Tribolium castaneum: one gene and its partner. The protein of the gene in region 2 binds, or shares a complex with, the protein of the main gene of each other region. Links are inferred from orthologs where the notes say so. Each region holds a gene or a part of one and is shown on either strand. Other genes may lie near its edges.

Region 1 (6,500 bases), on a different chromosome or scaffold from region 2:
TTGTGCTTCACAGTTTACAATTAACTCAGCTGTCACAAGCTAAATCACAGTATCTTCTTTTTATTTAATTTTTAACTAGACCCAAAATTAACTTATTTAACCAGCCTCTTTGAATGACTTACTCATAGTTATTGCTGTTATTAGTTTAGAGAGTGTATGCTGTTTTTCCATTTAAACCGTTATTCTTACACCAATCTAATTTTACAATGGCAATCAATTGGATTTTCAAGCGTGAAATTTTTCTAAGTAAATTTGTCTTTCATTCAAAACGTTACTATTTCGCAAAAAATTAACCAAATTAAAGGTAAAAGTTTAAAATTGAATACAGGATGATCCAGCCCAGTTCCCGTCTCCTGTAGCTCAGTTATTATTAAAGTTGGAGTTTTGATATTTTGTAGATATTACTTATTTATACTCTAGGACACATTTCAGGAAAATATATTAACTATATAGTGTCCTCAAAAAGTATGACATCATAATAATAATTTTTTTATGGCATCCTATTATTTTTTGTGCTCATTATGATATTTTTTTAGCTTCTTACATGTCTCTATTTTTTTCAAATCGGTTAGGAGATTACTGTTAAAAAAATACAAATTAAAAAAACACGGTTTTACACCTTTAGTTTTAAAAATCATTAAAAAATAGAAACAACTTTAATAGTAACTGAGCTGCAGAAGACGGGTGCTGGGCTGGACCACCCCTGTATATCTTAAAAAATCAAAACCTAGAAAAATATGAAGCTGGAAATCTTGAAAAACTATAACTAAAAATGAAATTTATACATATTATCCAATTTATGATGATAGTAAGATTTTTTGGTTTTGGTTAGAAAAATTATTGTCTTTACACACACGAGTTTCTAAAATTTCGTGATTTTGAAGTGGATGGTTTTTAATTTTTCAGTTATTTATACAATCTTTTTTATTCCACAGATTTTTTTACAGTTTCAGCAAATAGTCGACTTTTACGTGAAACACGCAAACCATGTACAGGGTGTGCCAAAACGCAAAAAGTTGAATAACTCTTTTTTTTCAAATGGAAGGATTTGCATAGCAAATTTAAAACGTTTTTCGAGATTTTTCAAAAAAATATTTTATTACAAGGAAATTTGTTATTCTACAATGTGATAAGTCAAATTGTAATTTATTTTTTGACATGTACCAATGTGACTATTTACATTAATAATTTAATTATTACTTGAAACATAAATGAAATGAAGAAAAAAAATAAGAGATATTTCTAATTTGTTGTACAAATCGCATATCATTGGATAGTGTAAAGAAATAGATAGTGTTCCATTTGAAAAAAAAAATGTTATTCAACTTTTTGCGTTCTGGCACACCATGTACATTACCTGCGTGTTTCAAGTAAAAGTCGACTATTATTAAAATTACGGGATATTCTGACTTATTCTGTTGCAAATTTATCGGAAAATATTCATAAGCGACTTCGCAGTGATTTTTCTAAAGATGGTCTTTTTCATAACGAGAAGTTGAATAATTTTAAAACGAAAAGAGATAAACCCATAATAGTTTATTTAAAGTTACATTACTTTTTGCATAGAATATAATTATGTGAAAATGTATGGGGTGTTTCATTTCAAAAAATATAACTCTAGTAAACCAGGATGTATACAACACCCTGTGTATAATAAAAAAAAGATAGTTTGTGGACTTTAAGTCTATCTATAGAATAATGAAAACGAAAACATGGCAAAATTTCAAGTAACAAAAAAGTTACAGACCGCACCCCTGAGTCACCCTGTATCTTTTAAAAAAATCACCAACAATTATTGTCTTATGGTGTTACAAACACTTAAATTAGCAAATTATACAATAAATAATTTAATATTAATCATATTAATATTATTAATCACTGGAAACAAAACAACAATTAAAATGGTTGCTAAAGAAAACAAATACAAGAATGATAAAAAAATCAAGTTGCTTGGGAAAAGATCTGACTTCATTTCTAAACTTTACTGGACATCCCTTATCACCATATCGACACTTTCTTGACCCTCTAGACATGGTTGAATTAACAAAGATAATGCAATTTTTTTGAATAACTTTATAAAAATAAACAAAAAAGTTACCGTGAACTCGTGAAGTAGGAAAAACTAAATAGGATGTTGCAAAAATGCTGGTTTATGAAAGACAAGGCATAATAGTAAAATTTATTCAAAAACGCGCCTTTTTACATGCCATAAAATTAAACTTACACCTACACTTACTTAACAGACTTACTACTACAGATTACTTCTCTAAAGGAGCATAATTCAATAACTTTTCAATAAGATCGACGTGTCCAAGAAGCATTCTTCTGCAACAGTACCTCTTCAAACCCAAAGCATCCAAAGCATCTCCTTCCGTATATTCAGCTTGCAAAAGCCCAAGATAAGCCTCCCATTTATTTCCAATAACTTTCCCACAAGTAAAACAACGAACCGGTATAATCATCTTGTCTCGACAAAACCTGAAAAAATATAACCTAATTTTTCACTGACACATCAAAAATTAACCAAATTCTGTACCTCACACTCTCGCTTAATCAAAATTTGTTGCGTTGGTATTTAGACTTTAAATTAGATTACTTTCAAAAAGCTTTAACTGCGCTTTTCTAGAAGCTTTTTGATTTCTAATTTCGTGAATTTCTGGGTTCTTCACTTCTGGAATATTGGTGCTCCTGATCAATTGAAGCTTGTGGCCTGCCATCTGTCGACGGCAATAACAAATAAGGATTAATTTCTTGATTAAATTATTAAAAAATCGCAGAAAACATGTGAAAGTTATATTGAAAACAAAGCCTAATTTTTTGTATTAATTTACCGCGTTGTTTCAAGCACGTTTTGTCAACGTGAAGTGGTAAATTTCTACAAATGTTTCAAGCGGAAGTGTGAAGTTTGAACAGCTAAAGCCGACTTTGACTAACCGCGTAGTCACTTCCGGCGAGCAGTTACCGCTACTTTGCAAGCAAGCCGGCCATTATTTGTTAGCGGCAAGCTGCGTGTCTGTTGATAAAACGGTTAAAAGTGCACCAAATTCCACTAAAACCGTTTACATTTGTGCATCAACTTCGGCCCCAGACCCTCCTACAAGCCACAACCAAATTTGCCAAATATGGGTGACGAAAAGAAGGTAAACATGACTTTTCTTTCCTAACCATAAACGAGGTTTTTTTCCCGTAATTTTGAACTGATACTCACGTTTTTGGGACTTTGCAGAGCAATGAAACGGAACATATCAACTTGAAAGTACTGGGACAAGATAATGCTGTCGTCCAGTTCAAGATCAAAAAGCACACCCCTCTCAGGAAGCTGATGGGGGCTTATTGTGAAAGAGCGGTAAGTGTTACACTTTATCTCAGATTCTTTAGTTTATTACTGGGACAAATGAGTAAGAACATGGATTGTGATTCATACTTGTGTTTACTAAAATGTATCAAAAGCCGCATCCTTTCTCCAAGTCTTTAATGTGCCATGATTTGCATTTTTTTCATGTTTGGACGTCTGAAACCGCCACATTTGTTGCAACTCAACTTCTTAAATGTCTAAACCAGGATTTGTTAATGTTTGTTCACTCCTGTGCGTAGTGATTGGTTGTATTCGGAAATAAAATTAACTAGACGCCCTCTGGTGACGACTTTTGAACTATGTCGAAAACAGTAACGAAATTTTCGTAATTCAATATTTAATTTAATTTTTTAATTTAACAATTTTGCGTGTGTAGTGTTAATTACTTACAGTAGAGAGAATCACTTTAAGGTAGTTGGGGCCTTACAATCGGAGCAAAAAGTTAGGCCAAAAGAATATATGGTGCCACAGTGTATAGTATCCACAGTAACCAACCCAAAAATTTTTACTGTGAATGTACTGCCCTGGCCAGTCATAACTCATTTGTGGAATGTGACAACACTGTCGGAGTTTCGATTGAAAATGTCAAATGTGTCAAATAATTACATCACAAAGGAAGAATTATTAGGCTAAAACCATCGATAAACGATGAAAAGCTACAGCGGTTTTACTGTAAACGCGTCCTATTTTCGAAATTTAACCGAAAAAAACCGTAATTACATCTTCTAGGTGGCCCCTGTGGCACGCTCACCTCGTAGGAACAGCCATTTTTAATCTATTTACTTCCTAACTATCCCGAACATAGCTCCAAAGTCAAAAATTCTGTGTCGGGATATTTGTTTTGTTTGTTAACTGATTCAAAATTCATTTTTAGCGGTTTTACAGATGCGCTGTGTTGCCAGTTCTATTTTAGTGTAACCCTTTTACTACAAATTTCTTATCGTTTATTAATTAATATCTCCAAAATTTGGACGGTGACCCCCAGTTTTTTTCCCCTTAAAATACTTATTTGATGTTGCTGAATGATGATTTAGTTTTTAAAAAAAATCTTAAGAAGGGTTTGATAGCTATACCAAAAAACGTACAAAAAAATTTTGATTCACCATATGCCGCAATGTAAAAGAGTCAAAAACTCAATTTTCAAAATTCAATGTCTCCGAAACTAGACGGTCAATCTTTTTCATTTTTGCACCATCGATATGGAATTCTTTGAACAATAATCTGTTAAAATTTAAAAGAAATCTTAAGAATGTTAATTTAGGCACCAACTACCTTAAAAGTACGTGGTGGTAAATACTAGCTTTGACTTTGGTTCTGCGGTTTTTCGTGGTATAAAGTGTTTATTCTTGGAATTTGAAAGTGGATAAAAAGTGAAAAAGATTTAAATTTTGATTACAAATTAAAGTTGTCAAATTAAAGACCATAAGTAATGGATACAGCGAACACAAAGTTGGGCTCAGGAAACCAATAAATTAGTGAAGTGTGTGAATTTTAGATTAGAATTTTTCCACAGGAAAAATCATGAAATACATTGGTAAATTTACAAAACTACAATTAAGATTAAAAACTGCTGAGACATTTAAATGTAAATTATGTCAAAAGGTAGGCTTTTCGATGCCTTTGTAATAATTTTCCAATAAAAAAGTGAACCAAGCAGTCATTCGTTATTCGTGTTTTCCTCATCATCTCTAATTTGTCAACATTCGTTTCTTGCACCAAAGATACAATAGTCATCCCGTATAGACAATGAAATAATTGTGAAGTTTCAAAATTCGTACAACGCTCAAAATATTCGAATAAAAAATTTCCCGCCATTTATGGTTAATGCTTTCGACCTAGCTCAGTGGCACCCCCAACGGTAATTTTACTTCCGAATAACTAGAGTAAGTTAAGTAACGCATAAAATTCATATTTTTGTTGGGAGTCATTTTCAAACAAAATTTCAAAAAACATCCTCGAACATGTCGATTTTATATTTGTAAATGTTACATCATAGTCACATTTGTGACATCACTGGTTTCTGAGTAATGACGTCATTTTTAATTATTTTAAATGGAAATCGACATTTTTGTTCATTGTTTTCAATAGTTTTAGCTGTTTCAAAACTATAATAACGCCAACGTTACATTTTCCTGAATTATTTTTTTTAAATAAGATTGATAAAATTGTGAAATAGTTATTAATGATTAGATCTCTCATTGAAAATATAAATCACATTAGCTATTATTTTTTTGAAGTACATGAATATTTTATAACTGCTAATTTTGAAAGAAAGTGCGATGTTGGCGTTTTTATAGAACGTGTATCAGAACTCACTCCCCAGAGAAAAGGGGGACGTGGCGTAGACAATTAGGTGTCTGTAAATGTTGACAAAAAAAATCCATGTTGAACGTTGTTCGAATAATAGGACTATGAAATCCACCAATCCCAGAAGCTGAACCTCAGTAATTATTTTGAATCAAAATAGGTTGCCAGGCATTAAAAATAAATATATAAATAATAATGTAATAAATAAATATTACAGTAATTCTTTGGTAAACTGCAAAAAACTGTCATATTGACAAAATCTAAACGACGTTTTGACAGAATTTATAATACAGAGTGGATTATTATTTCTGAAATGATCTTAGATGCAACCAAAAATACCAATTCAAGCATTCACTAGATCTCTGACTTTTAACAAAGCAATTGGCTCAGCCTGTATAACAACACCATTCAAAATTTTTCATTCACGTTTTAAATAAATACAAAAGAAAACCTATTAAACTAAGGACTACTATTTAACTAATTAATATTATATTCCTTAATCTTTCTGATAAGAATTCGAAAATAAAATTAACTAGACGCTCTCCGGTGGCATTACTTGTCGAAGTGTAACGAAATTTCCGTAATTCTTCATTTAATGAATTATTTAACCATTTTGTGGGTATGTTGTTAATTTTTTACATTGGAGAGAGTCAGTTTAAAAGAATGTGGTGGTCGTGGAGGGAGAAACTTCTAGAGAGAAGGTGCCCTATACCGCCAATATTAGGTTCTTAGCGATCTACAAACACCTTTTATGGCCTATTCTGAATTTCCCGCTTAAGTGTGCAACCAGTGCGCAGGTCTGAAGCTGTTGCTACAAATCAGCTGATACCAGATAGGC
Region 2 (7,882 bases):
AGAAGTTAAAGCAAGTTCTAAATTCTTCTTCAGACTTTAAAAGTTTAAAAATAATATTGGCATTTTTTTTTATTCCTTCGTATTATTTGTTTTCTATCTCACATAATTATTTTGCATTTTCCTTGCTTTCTTTTTAATAAAAATTGGAAATTGCAGCGTTAATTAAGCACTTTTTGTCACATCTACATCAAAAACTGTTATCTGATAACGGAATTTGACCCTGTTTCTGTGTTTTCGTATCTATATTTTCATCTAGGATATTTTGCCAACATTAGTGACATTTTTTCAAAATAAATCAAATACTGGACGCAATTTTTTTTTTACTAAAATTCCTCCAAATGAATTGGCTGAAAGTATTTACTGTAATCTGTTCCTAATTTTAAAACAAAAAATATAAAAAATACGTAATAAATAATTCAACAATATCTGTCGGATGTTAGAAGGGGTTCGAAAGGTGAAAAAGGTGGGGAACCGCTGAGATATAGGACCGAAAAAACCGTAAAAATTATATCAAAACGTATATCAGAGTTTTTGGGCGTGTTTTAATAAGAAATGTAATTATCTCGCAAAATTTTTAACTAATACAAAAAACCAGCAAATTAAATCAATAATGCTGTTTTTTCAACCTTTTTCAAGTATTTAAACACATTTTAAACCAACTAATCTGGGCGCAAAAACGTTTTAACACGATTTTCAACCAGAAACGCAATTATTTCGCGAAATTTCGGAAAAACATACAGTAGAAGAGAGAAAATTTGTCAAAAATGAAGCTAAGATGGGTGAAAAACTCACACTATTCGAGCAACGTTTTTTTACCTAGAAGTATTAATTAATAATTATGTACGTACTGTTGTTTTATCGGAACAGTGGAATAAGCGATCTTGTAACAAAAACGAAGCGCCATGACTGATCAACGAATCACGTTCCATCTCTCCAAATCGCACACCCCCTCCTCGTTTCCGCCCTTTGAGGGGCTGTCTCGTCAAAATATCGGTCGGCCCAGTTGAACGCACCTACAAATTTCCATAAAAAAAAAATAAAAAATACAACACAAAAATTATAAAACAATAATAATAATATTAAACAAAATCGCATAAACTTGAAAATTTTGGCATTGTAAGTTAGTTTACCGCGAATTTAGGCTTTCAAAAACAGGTTACGTTATATGTCAGTGTCAAATTGTTCAAATCCTACAAAATACGTTAAGTCAGTCAAGTTTTCTGCTTGTAAGTAACACTGCTTAGTCATTTTACCGATATTTGAGTACATTATTTGCACTTTAAGTCGCTAAAAAGGGACGTTCAGACAATCATAAAACTGCTTCACTCAATATTATTTACAGTCAAAACATGACAAAAACTATCAAATATAACACATTTTAATAAGAAATCTAAATAAATTAATGGACAACTAATCAAATACACCAAATAAACTTGTGTATTGAAAATATGAACGGACAAAAAAGAAGGCCGGTAAAACCTACTTTACAAGTTATTTTAGACAAATAATTAGTTATTGTTTTTTGTGAGCCGCAGATTGATTTAATCTCTCTCGTCATAATATTGAAAATAACCTTTGTCAGTGGTTGCTGAGTGTCTTGGTGGCCCCCCAGCCAATTTGATGGGGTTACACAAACAGCAATAGGGGGCTAGTTCGTTGCTGCACGCTTAATTCTTTTAAATTCGTTAATTTTGACAATGTCAAAGACAAACTTCAAATTTTCATGACAGTAGTAAAAGCATTGCCAACTGTCAAATTTAGTAACATAACTTGGTCCGAATACAACAGAATGAAAATCTCCAATATCCCAATATTACAAAAGTGATCCGACTTTTTTTTTAATCACCTGCCACTTATCCGAAACCATGTGTCTCAAGCGCTGGTAGTGAACGATCCCGAAAAATATTTGCGCTGTCATTTCCCTACCATCAATCCCCGAATACATGGTCTCAGTCCCGTAATAATTATAACCCCCTGCTTCCAACAACCGACCAAAATAATCAATCGCAGTGTCTTCTTCTGTAAATTTAAAGGGAGTTGCATCATGTACTAGCCCATGAAGCGCTGCCGATTTCCCAGCCATGACCTCAATCATCATAGCGATGGTCATACGAGAGGGAAACCCATGAGGGTTGAAGACAATATCAGGCACAAGCCCTGTCTCCGTAAAAGGTAAGTCCTCCATGGGCCACTTTTGCGAACAAATGCCCTTTTGTCCTGCCCGACTTGCGAATTTATCGCCAACGTTCGGGTTACGCTACAATTAAAATAATTACCAAGAACTCAATAAAAAAAAATGTGGGGGAAGTACCGGGACTCTGAACGTGAAACACGCCGTCCGATTGGTCGTTTCAAAACTGGCGCACAGTTTAACCATGTCGACAAAACACTCCTCTTTCCCCGAAAACTTGGTTACTTTGTACACCGACTCGTCCACACTGTAGTAACAGTACAGGGGATCCCCATCTTTCATTCGGCGTCCGATGATTGGCAAGCCGTCCGTGTCTAAGAATTCGGCCAGTTCCGGTTTTTCCGGGTTTCGGCAAAAATACGAAGACTCGTGTTCAAGTGTTACAAATTCGGTTTTGTAAATGGAACCGTGGGCAAAACCACGCTCGTCCGCGGCTTTGTTTATTATCATTGCGTCTTCCATGTCATAGCCCTGGGAACAGATGGTTCAATTGGGGATTTTTCCGAAGTTAATGGGTTTACAGTGTAGCTGATAACGGCAACAATGGCGTTTGTGCCCATGGCGAAGTCGTCAAGGTTGATGTTGTCGTAGTGGACGGGTCGGAAAAGGGGAGTCGCCGGTGTTTGGAGGCGGTAGAGTTTGGTTTCGGATTGGGAACGCCAGTTGTGGCAAGGAGTGCCCATTGTTTGTTTGCCCATCTGGCACTGGTACATGTTACGGGGTGATTGGTTGCAGTCGGGCATGGGGATTAGTTGGGCTAGGTTTGAGAGGAAGGCCAGTTTGGAGAGCTCCATGTGGGTCGTAACACCTAAAAAAAACACGAAAAATTGCAAAACACTTCGGTTTTTAATAAATACGTTAAAACAAAAATTATTTTTTTTACTGGTGGCTGAATGACAGGATAGCACCAAAACAGCTGAGAATAGAGATAGGGTCTCCAGTTTTTAGCAGAAAATTTGATTCTTCACAACTTTACTCTTTACACTTTTTTTACCCAATGAAAATTAGAACTAAACAGTTTTTGATAAAAGTTTTTTTTTTTCGTTGAATACCACCGTCAATTTTCAACAAAATCAAACACAGGTAAGGATAGGAAGTGTCTCTCCTTGTGAATATTTTCACATTTGTAAATAATTTACTAAATTTTTAAGTTACGACATAATGTAAAAATTCAGTTAACGAGCAGTAAAGAAAAAAGTTTTTTTGAATAACCAAATGAAAAACAAATTGCAATCTTTTGTATGTAATCTATCTTATTCGAACTTACCCTATAATGTTTGATAGATAATATACTGATTTTTTTTATTATTCCTTCAATAAATAAAATTATAAAATTTTGATGCACCGCTCGGTTACCGATAAGGGACAACTGGTCAAGAGGTTCCTGTTTTTCTCACCATGGTGTGCAATTCGGATACGTCCATATTTTTTTTTATTGTCACTAAAATTTTTGTACTTTTGTCTCGAATTACTATTGAAAATGCCGATTCTGTATTTTTTTACCTTGTGCTTACCATTATTTGAATAGATCATTTTTTTTATTTCATTGCTCTTAAAATTCAGGCTAGTTAGGCACTGAAATAAACTAAAAAAGTCCCGAAAGCAGGTCCGAAAAATGTTTTAGTAAATTCTCTTTTTTCACCAGAAAATAACTTCCAACAGATCTTGTCGAAACAAACCGACTAGTTTTTGAAAATAAGATATAATAACGTAAACATAGAAAAAAGAATAAGAAACAGAAAAGTATAACAAAATAAAAAACAATGTTTTTAATATGCAAATATTTATTCTTTATTTGCTTCTTTGTTTCACCATATACTCAGTGGTTTCAGCCAATTCTGGAAATTTTAGCTCATTCATGAACCAAAAACTAAAAGAATTTAAAAAATCGACAAATTAAATTAAATTAAATTAAATAAAGCGATCAGTAATAAATTCGATTTTGATCAGTAAAAAATAATAAATGCACAGTAAAAATAATAAATGCACAGTAAATAAAATAAATCGTTCAAATAAAATACTGTGCATTTAATTTGTACCAACTATTTCAACCAATTTCAAATGATTTATCTAGCTCACAAATAAAAAAAATCGATGATAAATGAATTGTCTTTTCGATTATCTACCCTTTTTATCCCTATCTGAATTGTTTGTGAAAGAAAAAATAATCCGCAGACTGAAAAAGTTTGACTTTAATTCAAAATTCTTTAAATTATTGAGCATCTTTTACTGTTCTCTCCCTTGTAGCTGTTATATCTTTTTCTCTAATCCAAATTAAAAAAAATTACTGCAAAATGGTGTGATCAGTAATCACTAATCAGCCAGCAATAGAATAATTATTTGGTAATTTAAAAAAATAAAAATAAACACAAGAAGACAATTACATTGCCACATAAAAAATGCAAATAAGAGAAGCAAATTAATGTATAATAATGATTCGACAGCTACAACAAAACAGTTATTTGAAGCTTATAAACAAAAACTCTAAAGATAAAAACCTGTAAAATAAGCGTTTTAAGAACTAAATAAAAGTGTAACAACAATAGAAAAATAAATAAAAAAAATCAATTTTAATTTTGTTTTTGTAGGTGGCAGCAAAAAAAATAAATTTGTTGGCAACTACGATTTTTGTAATTAAAATATACGCAAAGTGCAAGTGACTAACTTCAAAAAATTCAAAATCAGAACATTAATAATAACAAAAATACAAAGTGTAAAATGCACATTGATGTATAATTAAAAATTATTTTAAAAGAGCTATGAAAAAATTCGCTAAATATTTAATAGCGTACTACATACTCGTTATTACGTATTATTTTTTTTTGTGTTTTCAGCAAAAGTATGCAAGTCAAAATTAAATTTAATGCATTCTTTAAAAGTAGAAGAAATGTGTTGTACTTAGATTTTTTACTGTTTTACAGAATACATAATTATGTAATGTGAAGAAATAAGAACAGATATAAAACCAAAAACCTTCAAAAGAAGATTTGTCCCTAACAATTGGACTTGATGAGATTTTTTTATTATTTTTGCCCTTGTAAGCAAAATACCTAACCAGTTAAGTAGTTTTTCCATTTCATTAAAAAATGGAGACCTCTTCAATTTAGTATTTATAATAGAAAACTCATTAAAAAACGGGAGAGCCAATTATGTCCAAAGTAAAAAAGTCCAAAGTATTTCTGTCCAAAGTAAAATGATTTTTATTATGATTAGCCCAAACCACAAGGACCTTTCAAGCTAATTAATTATTCAGGCAAGCTTATTGTGTGATTTATTGCAGACAGGTTGCAATCTTTCAACGAACCGATCGATATCGTAAATATTTTCGGGTCGCCCTTGTCAAAACATCTTATTGTGAGGCTCGCTGATCTTAAACACCATTATCTGTTGTTAAACTTCATGGTGTACAAAGAAAACGTTGCTACAATACTTCTGTCCACCGTAAAAAAGTCAAAAACGTAATTTCATCCAACATAAAAATATCCAAAGTATTTTTGTGTATAACGCAAAATGATCATTGTTCACCGTAAAAGTATCCAAGGTTTATAGAATTCTTTTCAATACCAAACATGGTAGCAAAATAACGAAGTATACTGTTTTTCTATGTCGCAAATTGTAAATAAAGTGTCTAAAGTAAAATTTAAATTTAATAGTTTTTAGATTATTTATATAATCTTGAAGGAATATATATCTGAATAATAAAGGAATTGAATATCTTTCGACATTTTTATGTCAAAGTGACATTGCGATTTTAAAAAAAAGGTTTTAAAGAATCTGCATTACTTCTGGTAAAACGATGTTTGCTAATACGTTAATGAAAACTTGCTTCTTTTAATAATATGCAGTTAAACAATTTTCCAATTTTTTTTCTTAATTTTAAATTAATTATTTCATAAATGATACGTTCAAAAAAAAACTTGTAGCGCTAAAATGTGGACCTTTGGTTCTAAAAGGTGTAATTTAAATTTTGTTTAAATTAATTAATAAATAAAAAAGTTATGAGGGGGGTGCCCTTTTCGGTGGGACACCCTGTATATTTATTTTTATTTTATTTTAATTTTTTATTTATTTATGTATTATATATTATTATATACATATTATATACACTATCGGACAAAAGTAAGGCAAAATGTTGAAAAATATACACATATTGGTATTTTAAATTTTAAGAGTTGGTATTTACTTTCAATTTAATTTTATAATAAATGTTTAAAGATATTCTTATTCGTGTTGAAAATGGATAGCCTGTGGGTAATTATTATGACATACTACTAGCTTGAAATATAAAAATGCCCGATATTAATGTGACAAAAGTAAGGCAACATTGTCAGAAAATATTTTCAACTCAAATTTTATTTTATTCAACATTTCCATAACACTACCCAACACTAAAATTTAAATAAATAGAACGAAAAATTCAATAATTTATGGCATAGCCGTTATTAAGTATAATTTTTTGGCACCGTCTGGGCATTGAAGAAATTAATTTTTGAATAACATTGCCATCCAGATTTGACCACACTTCCTTGATTTTATCTATCAAAGATTGCTTGTTAGGAAATCTTTGTATCCGGATTCGTCGCTCTACCTCTTCCCATAAGTTCTCAATTGGGTTGAGGTCTGGTGATTGGGCAGGCCATTGCAAAACATGAATATTATTATTTTGGATCCACTCACTGACCAATGCAGAAGTGTGTTTGGGGTCGTTATCTTGTTGAAAGATAAAACGAAGAGGCATTTCCCATTCTACATACGGCAGCATTACATCTTGGAGTATGTCCCTATACATGAACCGATCCATATTACCCTCAATAAAGCTCAACGGACCCACACCATTCCACGAAAAACACCCCCACAGAAAAACGCTACCATGACCATGTTTAACAGTGGGTGTAACATACTTGGGGTTGAATCATGTATTGATTGGCCGTCTTACACGTTTCATTCCATCCGAATTAAATAATTTGTATCGAGTTTCGTCACTAAACAGAACTTTCCTCCAATCTTGCATTGTCCAATTCAAATGTTCTCTTGCAAATAGAAGTCTGGCGCGTCTATTTCTTTCGGAAATCAAAGGTTTTTTAGCACGACGTCTACTAAAAAGCTTTGCTGCAACCAGTCTTCTTTGAATTGTTCGTGTACTAACTCCTACTTCCGGTATTTCCGCTATAATTTTAGATGCAGATTTCCATGGATCGTTTTCCGAAATTCTTTTAATGCGTCTGTCCATGTTTATAGTGGTTTTTCGTGGTCTTCCCGATTTTGGATTATTGTTTAAATGTCCTCTTTCGTTGTAGCGAATAATTATTTTAGACACGCTGTATCTAGGCAGTTGAAATCTTCTTGCAATATCCGCTTGTTTTTCATTGTTTAAGAAAGCATCTATCACTCTTTCTTTCAACTCTTTACCAATTGGTATACGTTGGCATGGCTCTTGTTGCACAAAACGAACTGTTAATATTGGCCTAACAAATTTTTCATTATAACAACATTTTTTGAAAAAAATCTAAATGTTGCCTTACTTTTGTCGTCTTAAAATAATCCTTTTTTACACTACAAGTCAACAAAGCGGTTTTTTTCAACCTTAATAAATAATTACTTGACATTAAAGACAGTAGCTTCCTTTGATTCTTTTAATAATACCATAGTTTGCCCGATCATAATTTATTTACATTAGATAGACATTAATTT

Evidence for each region. The genes of interacting proteins can lie anywhere in the genome.
Region 1: the proteins of Polr1B (region 2) and Polr2L are in contact, whole or in part, in a cryo-EM structure (PDB 7OBA), measured with the Homo sapiens proteins. The link is inferred for Tribolium castaneum from reciprocal best matches to the Homo sapiens genes POLR1B and POLR2L. Residues at the interface, in NP_061887.2 of Homo sapiens: Leu16, Leu19, Thr20, Asp21, Pro22, Tyr24, Gly25, Pro27, Ile157, His160, Glu161, Glu162, Ala163, Phe698, Leu701, Thr702, Arg713, Gln715, Thr716, Pro717, Gln718, Ser719, Leu721, Asp733, Asn734, Pro736, Asn740, Ala741, Ile742, Asn760; in NP_066951.1 of Homo sapiens: Met1, Ile2, Pro4, Arg6, Cys7, Phe8, Thr9, Cys10, Gly11, Trp18, Tyr21, Leu22, Leu25, Gln26, Glu31, Gly32, Arg42, Tyr43, Cys44, Arg46, Arg47, Met48, Leu50, Ala51, His52, Val53, Asp54, Leu55, Glu57, Lys58.

The regions. Positions count from the first base shown.
Region 1 is NC_087394.1:15,048,048-15,054,547, forward strand, and holds Polr2L (RNA polymerase II subunit 10), read right to left. Parts: upstream 2,463-6,500; coding exon 2,259-2,462; downstream 1-2,258. Other genes in the region: Sumo (small ubiquitin-related modifier 3), read left to right, coding at 3,123-3,140, 3,227-3,346. UniProt on the Homo sapiens protein: DNA-dependent RNA polymerase catalyzes the transcription of DNA into RNA using the four ribonucleoside triphosphates as substrates.
Region 2 is NC_087399.1:7,559,274-7,567,155, forward strand, and holds part of Polr1B (DNA-directed RNA polymerase I subunit RPA2), read right to left. Parts: intron 3,000-7,882; coding exon 2,713-2,999; intron 2,663-2,712; coding exon 2,312-2,662; intron 2,258-2,311; coding exon 1,847-2,257; intron 1,014-1,846; coding exon 849-1,013; intron 1-848. UniProt on the Homo sapiens protein: Catalytic core component of RNA polymerase I (Pol I), a DNA-dependent RNA polymerase which synthesizes ribosomal RNA precursors using the four ribonucleoside triphosphates as substrates.